Linked DNA regions of Macaca fascicularis. The main gene of each other region encodes a partner of the protein of the gene in region 2 in a complex. Links are inferred from orthologs where the notes say so. Each region holds a gene or a part of one and is shown on either strand. Other genes may lie near its edges.

The links. The genes of interacting proteins can lie anywhere in the genome.
Region 1: the proteins of PARP1 (region 2) and HPF1 are in contact, whole or in part, in a crystal structure (PDB 6M3I), measured with the Homo sapiens proteins. The link is inferred for Macaca fascicularis from reciprocal best matches to the Homo sapiens genes PARP1 and HPF1. Residues at the interface, in NP_001609.2 of Homo sapiens: Thr825, His826, Asn827, Ala828, Arg865, Met890, Lys903, Asn906, Tyr907, His909, Ser911, Gln912, Gly913, His934, Lys953, Ser983, Leu984, Leu985, Tyr986, Glu988, Thr1011, Ser1012, Leu1013, Trp1014; in NP_060337.2 of Homo sapiens: Asn234, Val236, Asp261, Arg264, Leu265, Phe268, Gln272, Glu273, Thr276, Phe277, Gln279, Phe280, Asn282, Asp283, Glu284, Cys285, Tyr287, Tyr304, Lys307, Val308, Gln311, Leu315, Leu319.
Region 3: the proteins of PARP1 (region 2) and SMYD2 are in contact, whole or in part, in a crystal structure (PDB 9CKC), measured with the Homo sapiens proteins. The link is inferred for Macaca fascicularis from reciprocal best matches to the Homo sapiens genes PARP1 and SMYD2. Residues at the interface, in NP_001609.2 of Homo sapiens: Thr526, Leu527, Lys528, Gly529, Gly530, Ala531; in NP_064582.2 of Homo sapiens: Thr105, Leu108, Val179, Asn180, Cys181, Asn182, Gly183, Phe184, Thr185, Glu187, Leu191, Ser196, Ala203, Met205, Tyr240, Ile241, Asp242, Ser257, Tyr258, Asn380.

Annotation. Positions count from the first base shown.
Region 1 is NC_088379.1:174,548,925-174,552,753, forward strand, and holds part of HPF1 (histone PARylation factor 1), read right to left. Parts: intron 2,433-3,829; coding exon 2,273-2,432; intron 1-2,272. UniProt on the Homo sapiens protein: Cofactor for serine ADP-ribosylation that confers serine specificity on PARP1 and PARP2 and plays a key role in DNA damage response.
Region 2 is NC_088375.1:84,321,929-84,326,462, reverse strand, and holds the start of PARP1 (poly [ADP-ribose] polymerase 1), read left to right. Parts: upstream 1-1,719; 5' UTR 1,720-1,887; coding exon 1,888-2,007; intron 2,008-4,534. UniProt on the Homo sapiens protein: Poly-ADP-ribosyltransferase that mediates poly-ADP-ribosylation of proteins and plays a key role in DNA repair.
Region 3 is NC_088375.1:72,100,919-72,104,747, forward strand, and holds part of SMYD2 (N-lysine methyltransferase SMYD2), read left to right. Parts: coding exon 1-16; intron 17-2,792; coding exon 2,793-2,853; intron 2,854-3,571; coding exon 3,572-3,696; intron 3,697-3,829. UniProt on the Homo sapiens protein: Protein-lysine N-methyltransferase that methylates both histones and non-histone proteins, including p53/TP53 and RB1. Specifically trimethylates histone H3 'Lys-4' (H3K4me3) in vivo. The activity requires interaction with HSP90alpha.

The sequences.
Region 1 (3,829 bases), on a different chromosome or scaffold from region 2:
AACATGGCAAAACCCATCTCTACTAAAAATACAAAAATTAGCCGGGTGTGGTGGCTCACGCCTGTAATCCCAGCTACTGGGGAGGCTGAGGTACAAGAGTCACTTGAACCCTGGAGGTGGAGGTTGCAGTGAAATGAGATAGCGCCATTGCACTCCAGCCTGGGTGACAGGGTGAGACTCTGTCTCAAAAAATAAATAAATAAATAAGTAAAAAAACATTTCTATCCCCTTTCCTCTACCTTAGGTAATCACACCAGATTCCCCTGACTCTTTGACAATCTATTTGGCCAACCCTAACCCTGGATGATTCCGTCTTCCTTTTCTATTCACAGATCACAGACAGGGAGTGTTCACAAACCACAAAAACATGAAGTCTGTGCAAATGTACAATGCATAACCTCAAATGGGTCCTTGCTTCTAAGACGGAGGGGAGCACTCCAGGCAGGACCCAGTTTTATAAGGAGGCAAGGATGAAGAAAGCAAAAAAATTCCTGGGAGAGGTAATAACATGAATAGAAGCATGGAGATAATTTGACAGGAAAAATAGTTCAGCTGAACTAGAGCTTAGGAGAGCATACACTAATTTTTAAAGCATTAAGAAAACTAAAACTGTCCATCTCATTAGCCAAAGATAACAGTTAATAGTCTATTATACAGTAACAAATTTCCACACTCGCCACCCCCATGAACAGATACAAATCTGGAACAAACTGAGGGTTGTTTTGTAATCTGCTTTTGTCCTCCATCCTGTCCCATTTAAATTTTCTGAATATTTTTCCATGCTATTCAATGTTATTTTACGTGATTTTTTAATAGGGCATGATACTGCATTATAAAGAGGTAACCATCTATTCTCTTACTGAGGGATATTTACTATTTCTTTTTTTTGTTCTAAAATGTTTCAGTGAACATCTTTGCTAATAAATGTTTGTATACAGGTATGACTATTTTTAAAGAAACAACTACACAGTTCTGTTTTGATCTACTGGCAAAATTCAGCATATGTATCAATATACATTTCCATCAATGGTGTATGACAGTGCTTACTAGTTAAAAAATTTAAATAGTATTGTGCGAAGTAATGATCACAGCCCATTAACAGTTTCTTTATCCCTTCAGAGACAAAATAAGCACACAGAAAAGTACACAGGGATATGTGTGTACTCCCTCTCCCCACCCTCCCGTTTTAAAAAATATACTAATGGTAGCATATTCTATACACTCTTCTTTTCCACTTATTTCATGCATGATAGTTTATTGTTTCCTAAAAATCTGCTTCATGCTTAAAAGCAATGAATGATCTACTGAAGAGATGTGGTATTGGTAGGCATTTAAGCCATTTCCCATTTTTTGTGTAAGTAAACATCCTCACACAAAATTCTTAGTTTATGTAATCCATAAGAGAAGTGCTTGGAAGCAGAACTGTTATAACTCCTGCAACATAAGAAAGAGCTTGCTTTCCTTCACATTCCCCCAGAATGTAATGAATTTACCTTTGCCAAAAAAATAGGTGACAGTGGCATTACTACAGCATTAATCTATATTTCTTTCTATATTTTCTCTTACCAGAAATATCTTGGAAAATATTCCTTTTCTATGAACAGTTTATATCCTTGGTTAGGTTTTTTTTTTTTTTTTTTTGAGACAAGGTCTTGCGCTCTGTCACCCAGGTTGGAGTGCAGTGGCGCAATCTTGGCTCATTGAAGCCTCTACCTCCCAGGTTCAAGCAATGATCATGCCTCACCCTCCCAAGTAGCTGGGACTACAGGTGTGCGCCACCATGTCCACCTAAGTTTTGTATTTTCAGTAGAGACAGGGTTTCACTGTGTTGCCCAGGATGCTCTCAAATTCCTGACCTCAAGTGATCTCCCTGCTTCGGCCTCCCAAAGTGCTGGGGTTACAGGCATAAGCCACCATGCCTGGGCAATTATTGTATGTTTTAGAGACGGAGTCTTGCTCTGTCACTGAGGCTGGAGTGATCAGAGCTCACTGCAACCTCGAACTACTGGGCTTAAGGAGGGATCCTTCCATCTCAGTCTCCCAAGTAGCTGAGACTATAGGCACATGCAACCATGCATAGCTTTTTTTTTTTTTTTTTTAATTTTTTCTAGAGAAGAGGTCTCACTATGTTGACCAGGTTGGTCTCAAACTCCTGGCCTCAGGCGATCCCCCTCCCTCAGCTGGGATTACAGAGTGTGAGCTACCACACCCAGCTCGTTTCCTATTACATTACCTTTTCCATGAATACAAGAATGATTCTGGAGCAACTCACCAGATGGCTTTTCAGGATCAAGTTCTTCACAGAACTTCCAGAAGTGATAGAAATCTTCAGGTAAAGAAAGCTTATAATGATTTTCTATTTCTTTTCGAAGGTCACTGGAGACATCAGCTTCACAGAATTTACTTTTCTTCTCATCAACTGTTTTTTCACACTGAAAATTAGCACACAAACTTTAGTTCTCCAAATTATCTTTAGTAATTTCAGTAACTCTCCTTGCATAACAGTATCACTCACTCTTGTTCACCCAGCTCTATGAAATACATGTGTTTTCCTCAAAACTCTCTAAACGGTATTTGAGTAAAATCTGGGAATTCATTTGGGCACAGGAAAAAAGAGTAGTTTATATGGTGGTTAAGAGGAATCCACACAGCAAGTCCTTAAATATATTTTTGTAAGATAATGGAAACCACAAAAACCAAAAAGGCAAAAAAAAAAAAGAAATAAAGAGTAGGAAGAGAGGAATAAAGAATTTTTCCCTCTTTTGGTTAAAGGTGTGAGTCTTTTAAACAGATTCATTGATCACACCAGAAACAGTCAGAAGTAACTGGATATAAGCAATTCATCAGTTAAAAAGCTGTTTCTCCATAAAAAAGGATGAGTTCACATCTTTTGTAGGGACATGGATGAAGCTGGAAACCATCATTCTCAGCAAACTATCGCAAGGAAAAAAAAACCAAACACAGCATGTTCTCACTCATAGGTGGGAACTGAACAATGAGAACACTTGGACACAGGGTGGGGAACATCATACACCGGGGCCTGTCGTGGGGTGGGGGGAGGAGGGAGGGATAGCAGTAGGAGATATACCTAATGTAAATGATGAGTTAATAGGTGCAGCACACCAACATGGCACATGTATACATACGTAACAAACCTGCACATTGTGCACATGTACCCTAGAACTTAAAGTATAATTAAAAAAAAAAAAAAAAAAAAAAGGCTGTTTCTTCAGCAACATCCAGAGTTGTATCTGAGCTATTCATTACCCAGCCTTAAAAACAGATACCTCCTTTTGATTTTCCAAATAAAGAGGGAAAGTTAGTGACAATGTTAAACATACACAGTTCCTAACAAAGCTAGCAGAATAGCACTAAACTCTAGGCCAAAAATCCAATTATTTCAGAAAAGGCCTTTAAATGCCAGGATTAAGTTACAATACTCATCTCTAGGACTCCCACAGTATAGGTTCATTACATAAGTATGCTAGGTTTTATAATGCCTACTAGATATTTGATAAATTTCTGTAAAGACAATATGCTTAATGGGAGGTTATGTATGGTTAGTTTACTAAGAAGCAATCTGTTTTTCTTTCTATGAACCTAGATTCTTTCTTTTTGGATTGAGTTCTTTCCTTTCCTACCTAGAGCAGTGGTTCTCAACCGGTGGTGATTTTGCCCCCCAGGGGACATTTGGAGACCTATTTAGTTGTCACCAGTCGGAAGAAGGGTGCTAGTGGGGCAGAGGCCAGGTATGCTCCACATCCTACAATGCCCAGGATAGGCATCCTCCACCAGGACTACTGGCCCCAAATGTCAACAGTGCTCAAGT
Region 2 (4,534 bases):
GCCTACCTTCAATGTATCTTACTGATTACTAACTTTTATGATTCAGCCTATGTCTCACAACCTTCTTGCTTACTCAACATACTTATCTCTTTTTTTTTTTTTTTTTTTTTTTTTTGAGACGGAGTCTCGCTCTGTCACCCAGGCTGGAGTGCAGTGGCCGGATCTCAGCTCACTGCAAGCTCCGCCTCCCGGGTTCACGCCATTCTCCTGCCTCAGCCTCCCAAGTAGCTGGGACTACAGGCGCCCGCCACCTCGCCCGGCTAGTTTTTTGTATTTTTTAGTAGAGACGGGGTTTCACCGTGTTAACCAGGATGGTCTCGATCTCCCGACCTCGTGATCCGCCCGTCTCGGCCTCCCAAAGTGCTGGGATTACAGGCTTGAGCCACCGCGCCCGGCAACATACTTATCTCTTAAGCTACTAGCTTCTTCTCTATGGTTAACACTTTTTATGAGTTTTATTCATCCACTTATTTTTCTTATCCTCTACACCAGAATTGAATATTTTCAAATGCAGCACACTCATGTTACAATCTTTGAAATGAAAAAAAAAAAAAAGCATAGGATTAGAAAAGAAACCAATTTTAATCAACTGTATTTTAAAGTATAGTTCCATATTAAACAACATGATCTAGGCCAGCTGCAGTGGCTCATCCCTGTAATCCCAGCACTTTGGGAGGCCAAGGTAGGAGGATTGCTTGAGGCCAGGGGTTCAAGACCAGCCTGGGCAACATGGAGAGATGCCCCATCTCTTTCTTTATACACACACACAGAGAGAGAGAGAGAGAGAGAAAATATCTGGTAGCAACAGGTCTAGTCATTACCACAATTTTGAGTAGTGATGAGCTTAATAATATTTTGAGTTATCACCAAAATAACTGTAAAGTAACATGAAAACATCTGTGATGACTATTGCCCACAAAGTCACAGGTACTTCTAATACTCCTGGGATTTGTAGTCAAATTCATAATAAAGGAAATGCTAGGTTTCAGTTGGTATTTTGTCCCGACGGTGTATGGATGGCAGGTTGGAATGCCCGTCCAAGCCAGGGGGGTTGACCTAACACTGCAGGGTCCACCTAGGGCCGATCAACTATATTCCCTAGGGGGGCCTGCTATTCCCGGACCCAGCTGCCCTCAGGGGAGAGAGGACACACTTATAAAAAGAGTTTGGGGCTGGCTTGGTAGTTCACTCCTGTGACCCCAGCACTTTAGAAGGCTGAGGCTCGAAGATCACTTATAGCCAGGAGTTTGAGACCAGTCTAGCCAACTTGGCGAGACTCTATCCCTAAAAAAACAATTTTTTTTTTTTATTAGCCAGTTGTGGTGGTGCACGCCTGTAGTCCCAGCTACTTGGGAGGCTGAGGTGGGAGGATCGCTGGGCTCAGGAGTTCCAGACTGCAGTGAGCCATGATCGCGCCGCTGCACTCCAGCGCAGTGAGACTCAGTCTCAAAAATAAAAGGTGGAGGGGTTGGGGGTATAATTAGTTATGAAAACAGGTAAGACTTCCTGGGACAGAACGATCAAAGGGGTGGCGCCGGGTCCTCCAAAGAGCTACTAGCTCAGTCCAAGCCCCGCCTCGGCCCACAGGGTAGCGGGCCGTAGAGCTCCACCCGCAGGAGCCCGGGAAACTCCGCCCCCCGGCCGGCAGGGGGCGCGAGCGCCGCAGGCCCCGCCCCGTGGACGTGGGCTCCGTGGGCGTTTCCGCTGCCAGGCATCAGCAATCTATCGGGGAACCGCGGTGGCCGGTGCGGTGTGCTCGGTGGCGGCTCTGGACGCTCAGGCGCCTGCGGCTGGGTGAGCGCACGCGGGGCGGCTAGGCGGCGAGGCGGCGGCGTGTTTCCAGGTCGTGGCGTCGGGCTCCCGGAGCTTTGGCTGCAGCTAGGGGAGATGGCGGAGTCTTCGGATAAGCTCTACCGAGTCGAGTACGCCAAGAGCGGGCGCGCCTCTTGCAAGAAATGCAGCGAGAGCATCCCCAAGGACTCGCTCCGGATGGCCATCATGGTGCAGGTGCGGGCCGCTGTGCGGGCGGCGGGGCGGGTACGCGGCGCCCCGGGTTAACTGTGTCCGGGAAGGCTCGGGGAGTGCGGGCCCGGGGAGCGAGCGGACCTGGGCTCTCGGAACGGCACTTAGGGCCTGTGGGGCCGTGGCCGCCTCTCCTCCGCCGAGCGGCCCGGCCGACCCTTCCGGAAGGTTTTGCTGATGTTGCAGGAAAAGCCCGGGAAATACAGTCTGCAGCTGGTGCTGCCTTTCGCTTTGTGTAAACGAGAAGCCGCTTCTCTCCTCCTTTCTTGGTGGTGGTGTTTTATTATTGCCGTTCGCCTCAGGGATTGGGGGTGGGGGGGAATTGTACATGGTCTCTTTAAGCTAATCTGATTTTGACCTATCTTGTTCTGGAAGATTTTTGTCCTACGTGGATGGTGGCGACTGGCATGTGGGGATTTTTTTTTTTTAACCTATTTTTGGCCGTCATTTCAACACGTCATTTTAACGCTCACCCTCATTTTTCATTTTAATTAGGCAAAACTATGCAGAGAGGTGTCATTTCTGTACAGTGCATTCACTTTGAGCCTAATCTGTGCTTTAAAATAACATTTTCCCCAAATTTTCCAGGTTCACAGACGCGTTCTCGGTGCACTTGCAGCTGTCTGGTTTGAGTAAGAGTGGCTCCAGGGGGGTTTCTCATGTGGGCTTTTTGATAGATTGAGGATCGATCCCCTTTTGAGATTTCCTGAGGCTTCTGTGAGGTGGTGGGCTTGAAGGCCCCTGTCATTTCCCAGGGGCTCCTGCCTCCAGCTTCCAGTTTGCTGATGTCTGCCTTTGTATGAATAATTCTGGTTCTCACCTGCCCTGTTCCTCCTCGCTTCCAACACATTACCCAAGCTTAGTGCTCATGGTCAAGGTAGCTTGATTTTCCTCCCTACCATGAGCTGTAATGTGTTTTAGGAATGACCAGATAGCCCTCAGTGGATTTTCAGGACTTAAAGAGTACAAGGGAGGGCGACATTTACCGAGTGGATACCCAAGTGCCAGGTGTACTTCCGTTATCTTATTTCACAATATGTCTGTCATCTCGGTGTCCTTGGGGCATACCTAAGTCAGTACGTGGCACACAGTGCTTATTTGGTAGATATTTGTTAAGTTCTAAGCACTCTGTTAGGTTTTAAGGACACAGAATCCACCTTTGGGAATTTCCAGTTTGGTTAAACGGGAATTGACTGGTAAACAAACATTGCCGTACAGAGGGGATGGATGCCACCTGATGGAACTGTGCTCCAGGCATTGTGTGCCTAGGAGTCCAAGATGACCCACCTTAGGGTGGAAGGTTGATTAGGAGTCGTTAATTCACAGAAGTGGAGCAGAAAGATGAGGATAGGGAAGTAGACAGGGCCTACAATTTGAAGAGCCGTGTTTCCCACTAAGGAACCTAGAACTTACCTTAAATATATAAGGCAGCCTGTTCTAATGAAGTTCTCACTCCTGGTGCAGGAGCTCTTAACCCCAGGGTCCGTAGGATGGTAGATAGAATGCAAGAGGTCCATGGGTTTAGATAAGAAAAAATTGATATCTCCATCTCCACTAACCTATAGATAAAATTCATTATTTCCTCTAATCATAAATGTAAGCAGCAAAGCAAAGGCATATTAGCAGTCCCTATGATTTTTTTCACCAGCGGTAATTACAGATATTTTCACTTTACAGTTGGGAGTTTCTCAAAATATAATTTACTCTCATTGCTATAAAAATCACAGTTGTTAGAGGCAGTACTAGATCTTGTTATTTAAAACTTTGAAGCTCACGGGTTACTGTACGCAAATTACCTTTCAAATGTTTTGATAATTATTTGAGTATGTTTCCTTTTTGAACTTTTTTGTTTTGTTTTTTGAGATGGGGTCTCACTATGTTGCCCAGGCTGGTCTCAAACTCCTCAGCTCAAGTGATCCACCCACCTTAGCCCTGTAAAGTGCTAGGATTACAGGCGTGAGCCACCATGACTGACCATTTGCGAGCCTTTTTATTATGCATTTTTAAATGTTATTCCGAGAAAGGGACATCCACGGGCCGTAACAGGTGGGCAGAGTACCGTGTTCTAGTGGAAAGACAGAAAACCCAAGTTCAGGCAGTGTGTTGAGGCTAGAACAACACCGCTGTGGAGGAAGTTAGAGGAGGCTTAGTTAGCTGTTGGGGAGGCAGGATGGAGGAAGCTGAACCTGATCAAGTTTAACATTCTGGGGCCAGGCTCGGTGGCACACGCTTGTAATCTCAGCGCTTTGGGATGCTTGGGTGGGCAGATCACTTAAGCTCAGCGGTTCAAGACCAACCTGGCCAACATGCTGAAACCTCATCTCTACAAAAAAAATGCAGTGATTAGCGGGGCGTGGTGGTTCATGCCTTTATGTCCCAGCTACTCTGGAGGCTGAAGCTGGAAGATTGCTTGAGCCTGGGAGGTGGAGGTTGCAGCGAACCGAGATAATGCCACTGTACTCCAGCCTGGGCGACAGACCCAGACCCTGTCTGAAAAAAAATAAATAGTAAT
Region 3 (3,829 bases), about 12 Mb from region 2:
GATTCTGGCCAAACAGGTGAGGAAATGGGACAGTGTTCAAGTGCATTTTATTTTTTTTTAAAGGTCAGAAAGATGAGTAACTGACCTTTGGTAACCATCTCTCGTTAAACATCCTTAGACCCCATTTCCTATCATATCCATATGGACAAGGGTGGGGAAAATACTCCAGGCATAATCTGGTTCGTTGTGTGCCCTGTGCTCACCCCAGACCAGGAGCATAGCCACAGCTCTGAAATTCTGAGCTGTTTTCATGACAGGTTTACATAGAAATATATGACATGAAAAGCCTGACCCCAAATAATTAGAGCTTCCTAGGGAAGCAGATTGGTCTGAGCAGCTTTGAGATTTTCCCCTGTCCATTGTGACATAAAGAGTGTACTCTGTTCCCCTGTCCTGTGCAATATTCTGCTGTTTCTTGGCTCCTTTCTTGCCTGTGCATAGGCAGACAAAGAATTGGATGGAGCAGCCACGTGGCTGTGCAAAGAAGAGAAAGAGTGGAAAAGTAGAAATAGAGGCAAGAGAGAGGGGAAGAGAGTTAAAAAAAAAAAAAAAGTGAAGAAGGAGGAAAGAAAGAGGCGCCCTTGATGGAAACAGATGATAGTCATCAATGGCTTTCTCCAGAGGTGGTGCCAACTCTGACTATTCAGAGTCAGAATAGTCAGACTATCGGCCTGGTGGGCACAGGCCTGGTGGGCAGGCCTTTGCAAACTTACCCTCAAAGACTAAGGAAGCTGAGAGACAGAAGAAAGAAGCTGACAAATCCAGTTTATTAGAAACACTTACTAGGACTTATGAACTGAAGCCATGTTTATGTCTTGGGCATCTATGTCTATGTCTTTAGGCTTAGAAGGCCTAAATCCAGGCTGTGGAGGTCTTGCTCCTCAGTGTTGTCAGAGAAGTTGGTGGCAGGGCCTCTGGACTAAATCTTTTAAAGCTGAAATTTCATCTGGGCAGGCATAGTAGCTCATACCTGTAATCTTAGCACTTTGGGAGGCTAAGGCAGCAGGATTGTTTGAATCCAGGAGTTGGAGACCAGCCTTGGCAACAAAGTGAGACCCATAAATTTTAAAAATTAAAAAAATTTCCCAGGCGTGGTGGTATACACCTGTGGTCCCAGCTATTCTGGAGGCTGAGGCAGGAGAATTGCTTGAACCCGGAACTTCAAGGCTGCAGTGAGCTGTGATTGTGCCACCGTACTCCAACCTGAGCAACAAAGTAAATGAGATGGAAAAAACAAAACTGAAATTTCATCTACCTCTTCCATATACCTACCAGCCCTCCTCTACCCTTAAAATTTTTCTATTTTTTAATCTAAGCCAAATGTGATGGAAAGGATTAGCATGTATCTGTCCCCAGACCAGGTTAGGATCCTGGGCTGTGTAAACAGAAGTAGAACATTTCCAAACTCTGAGGTCATCTTTCCACTATGTTCAGCTTAGGTCAGGTGCTTGCTGAAATGCTGCCTCGCCAGCTGAGAGTATCCAAAGCCATTCATGGGTTGCCTGTAAAGTGAGACCAAAGCATCAGAATTCTTTCCCTGCAGGAGGTTAACTTTCGGATCCTTAATAACAGTTATCTTTAAATTTATGCAGAGTATTTGGGCTGAATGAGTCAGAGGGAATAGGATGACTGGGTGAGGCATCAGAGCTAGTAAGTCATCAGATGGGATCTCTGCGCATCTTGGGAGGATGGGGTGGCCAAGCCAGTGTTTTATTATTTTCTTCCCCTGAATTATTGATGATATGTATAGTGATATTTTAAGAATTCAGAAGAGGCTGGTAGACTTTCCTGAATGAAAAGCTTTCCCAAGAGAGATGACTTATAAATCTTATGAAAATGCATTCCGTGAATGGAAGATTTCTGCTCTAAAAAAGAACTATTGAGATATTTCGGCACCAGGAGGGTAGTCTGAATGCAAAGATGAGTTTATACAAGCTTCATTCAACTTTTATTATAATTACTACTACTACTAATAGTGTATTAAATGAAAGTTACCTGCCCATCTTTTCATCTCTATAGGACTTGATGATTAAAAAAACAGACCATTTGTATTCTAGTAGCTTGCAAAGGATTAGGGGAGACAGGCTACCAAACTACCAAGGGGAGGCTTAACATGTTAACTAGGGAGGTGAGCGTGCCCTGCTAGACCACCTGTATCCCCAAATTGAATAGCCAGATTACAAAGACACGGCCTTGGGCCAGCTCCTGAGCTCTGCCTTTGAACTCTTGTCAACACCAAGTTTATTCATGTTCTCAAAGCCTAGCGGGTTTACTATTGTTAGCTCCTCTTGGGGTGTCTAGAACAAAGCCAGCAACACGTTTAAAGTGAATCTGGGCTCACAGATACAACCAAAAGTGTTCTTTTTGAAACACAGAATTTGAGATCATTTTAGCCTATGCTTAAAGAAAGTGTAAAATGGATGGGGGGTTTGATTTTGTTCCTTTTTAGAAGGCGAAATAATAAATAGGATGGTTTGTCTGTAGACCCAGTCCTTTTAAGTAAAGACCCTAAAAAGTTGTTGTCCGGCCCTGTTCTTTCCCATAACAGGCATTTCTGAGCCTACTGTGTGCATAGTATTATCAGGGTGTTAGGTACGCAGTAGACATTTTAAAAAGCACTTTAGAAGAGTCTTTGGATTTGGTTGTTGGAGAGCCCTGGTGGTGGAGTCCTTGGGTGCCCGTTTTACTTCCTTAAGAATTGTTACTTTTTCTTTATGTTGATGTAAAAGTGAAAGTGCCACTTTCTACACTGGTTGTTAAAAAATCTGTATGATGTCTTCCCCAATTGCTAGAAAATCCACCCAGAGAGAACACCTTCGGAAAAATTGTTAGCCGTGAAGGAGTTTGAATCACGTAAGTCTTTCTGTGACCAGCCATGCAGTTCTCTCAGCCACAGGTTTCACATGGGTTCGGCAGGATTGAAGCGAGGACGGCCTAGCCTGTGCTCAGAGGAGTAGTGATTTCTTTCATTACTAGTTTTTATTTTGACTTTTGTGCTGTTTTGAAAAGCACTTTTAGCTTTTTCCTTCTGAGTTGACAGGATTGTTAGGAAATAATTAAAGGAGGTAGGAGCTCCCAAGAGGAATTATTGCACCCTGAGTTACCTCCTGCTGGCCCTCTTGGCATGCTGAATATTTTTGGATCTTTGCTGAATTGCAGTCCTGTAAATAGCTGATGTTTTTACTGAAAGCCATGAAATCAGGGGTTGTCCAGTTGTTTGACTGTGGCCCAGATTCCTGGGCCAATTGGGAGGCCCTTGACTAGGCTGAAGCTGTTTATGAGTCATGGCTACTCATCCCTGACCTTGTCACTAACAGTCAGTTGAAATCTCATGTCCTGAGTGACTTCTAGTCATCAGAGGGAGAGGAAGAAGAAATGGCTTGCTTTCTTTCCCTAGGGTTTGTCAGTTAAACCAAGTGATGGGGAAGAATGTTCTCTGGGGGTTCAACATGTTAGTTTTGGGGTTTTTTTTCGCCCTTTCCTTTCTCTATATCATTTACAGCAACAATAGGATGTAGCTAGAAATCCTGTGTTTTCTACCAGGTGAGAATAATGGATTATTTATCCACAGATCTGGATAAGTTAGACAATGAGAAGAAGGATTTGATTCAGAGTGACATTGCTGCTCTCCATCACTTTTACTCCAAGCATCTCGAATTCCCCGACAATGATAGCCTCGTAGTACTCTTTGCACAGGTAAGGATGCCGACAGCAGGTAACACTCAGTCTGGCCTTTCCCTCTCCAGGCACCTCTCCCCAGCACGCACTCAGTGAAGATGAATGCAAATAGAACGATGACATCTTCCTGACAACGAAGCTCTGAGCCAAT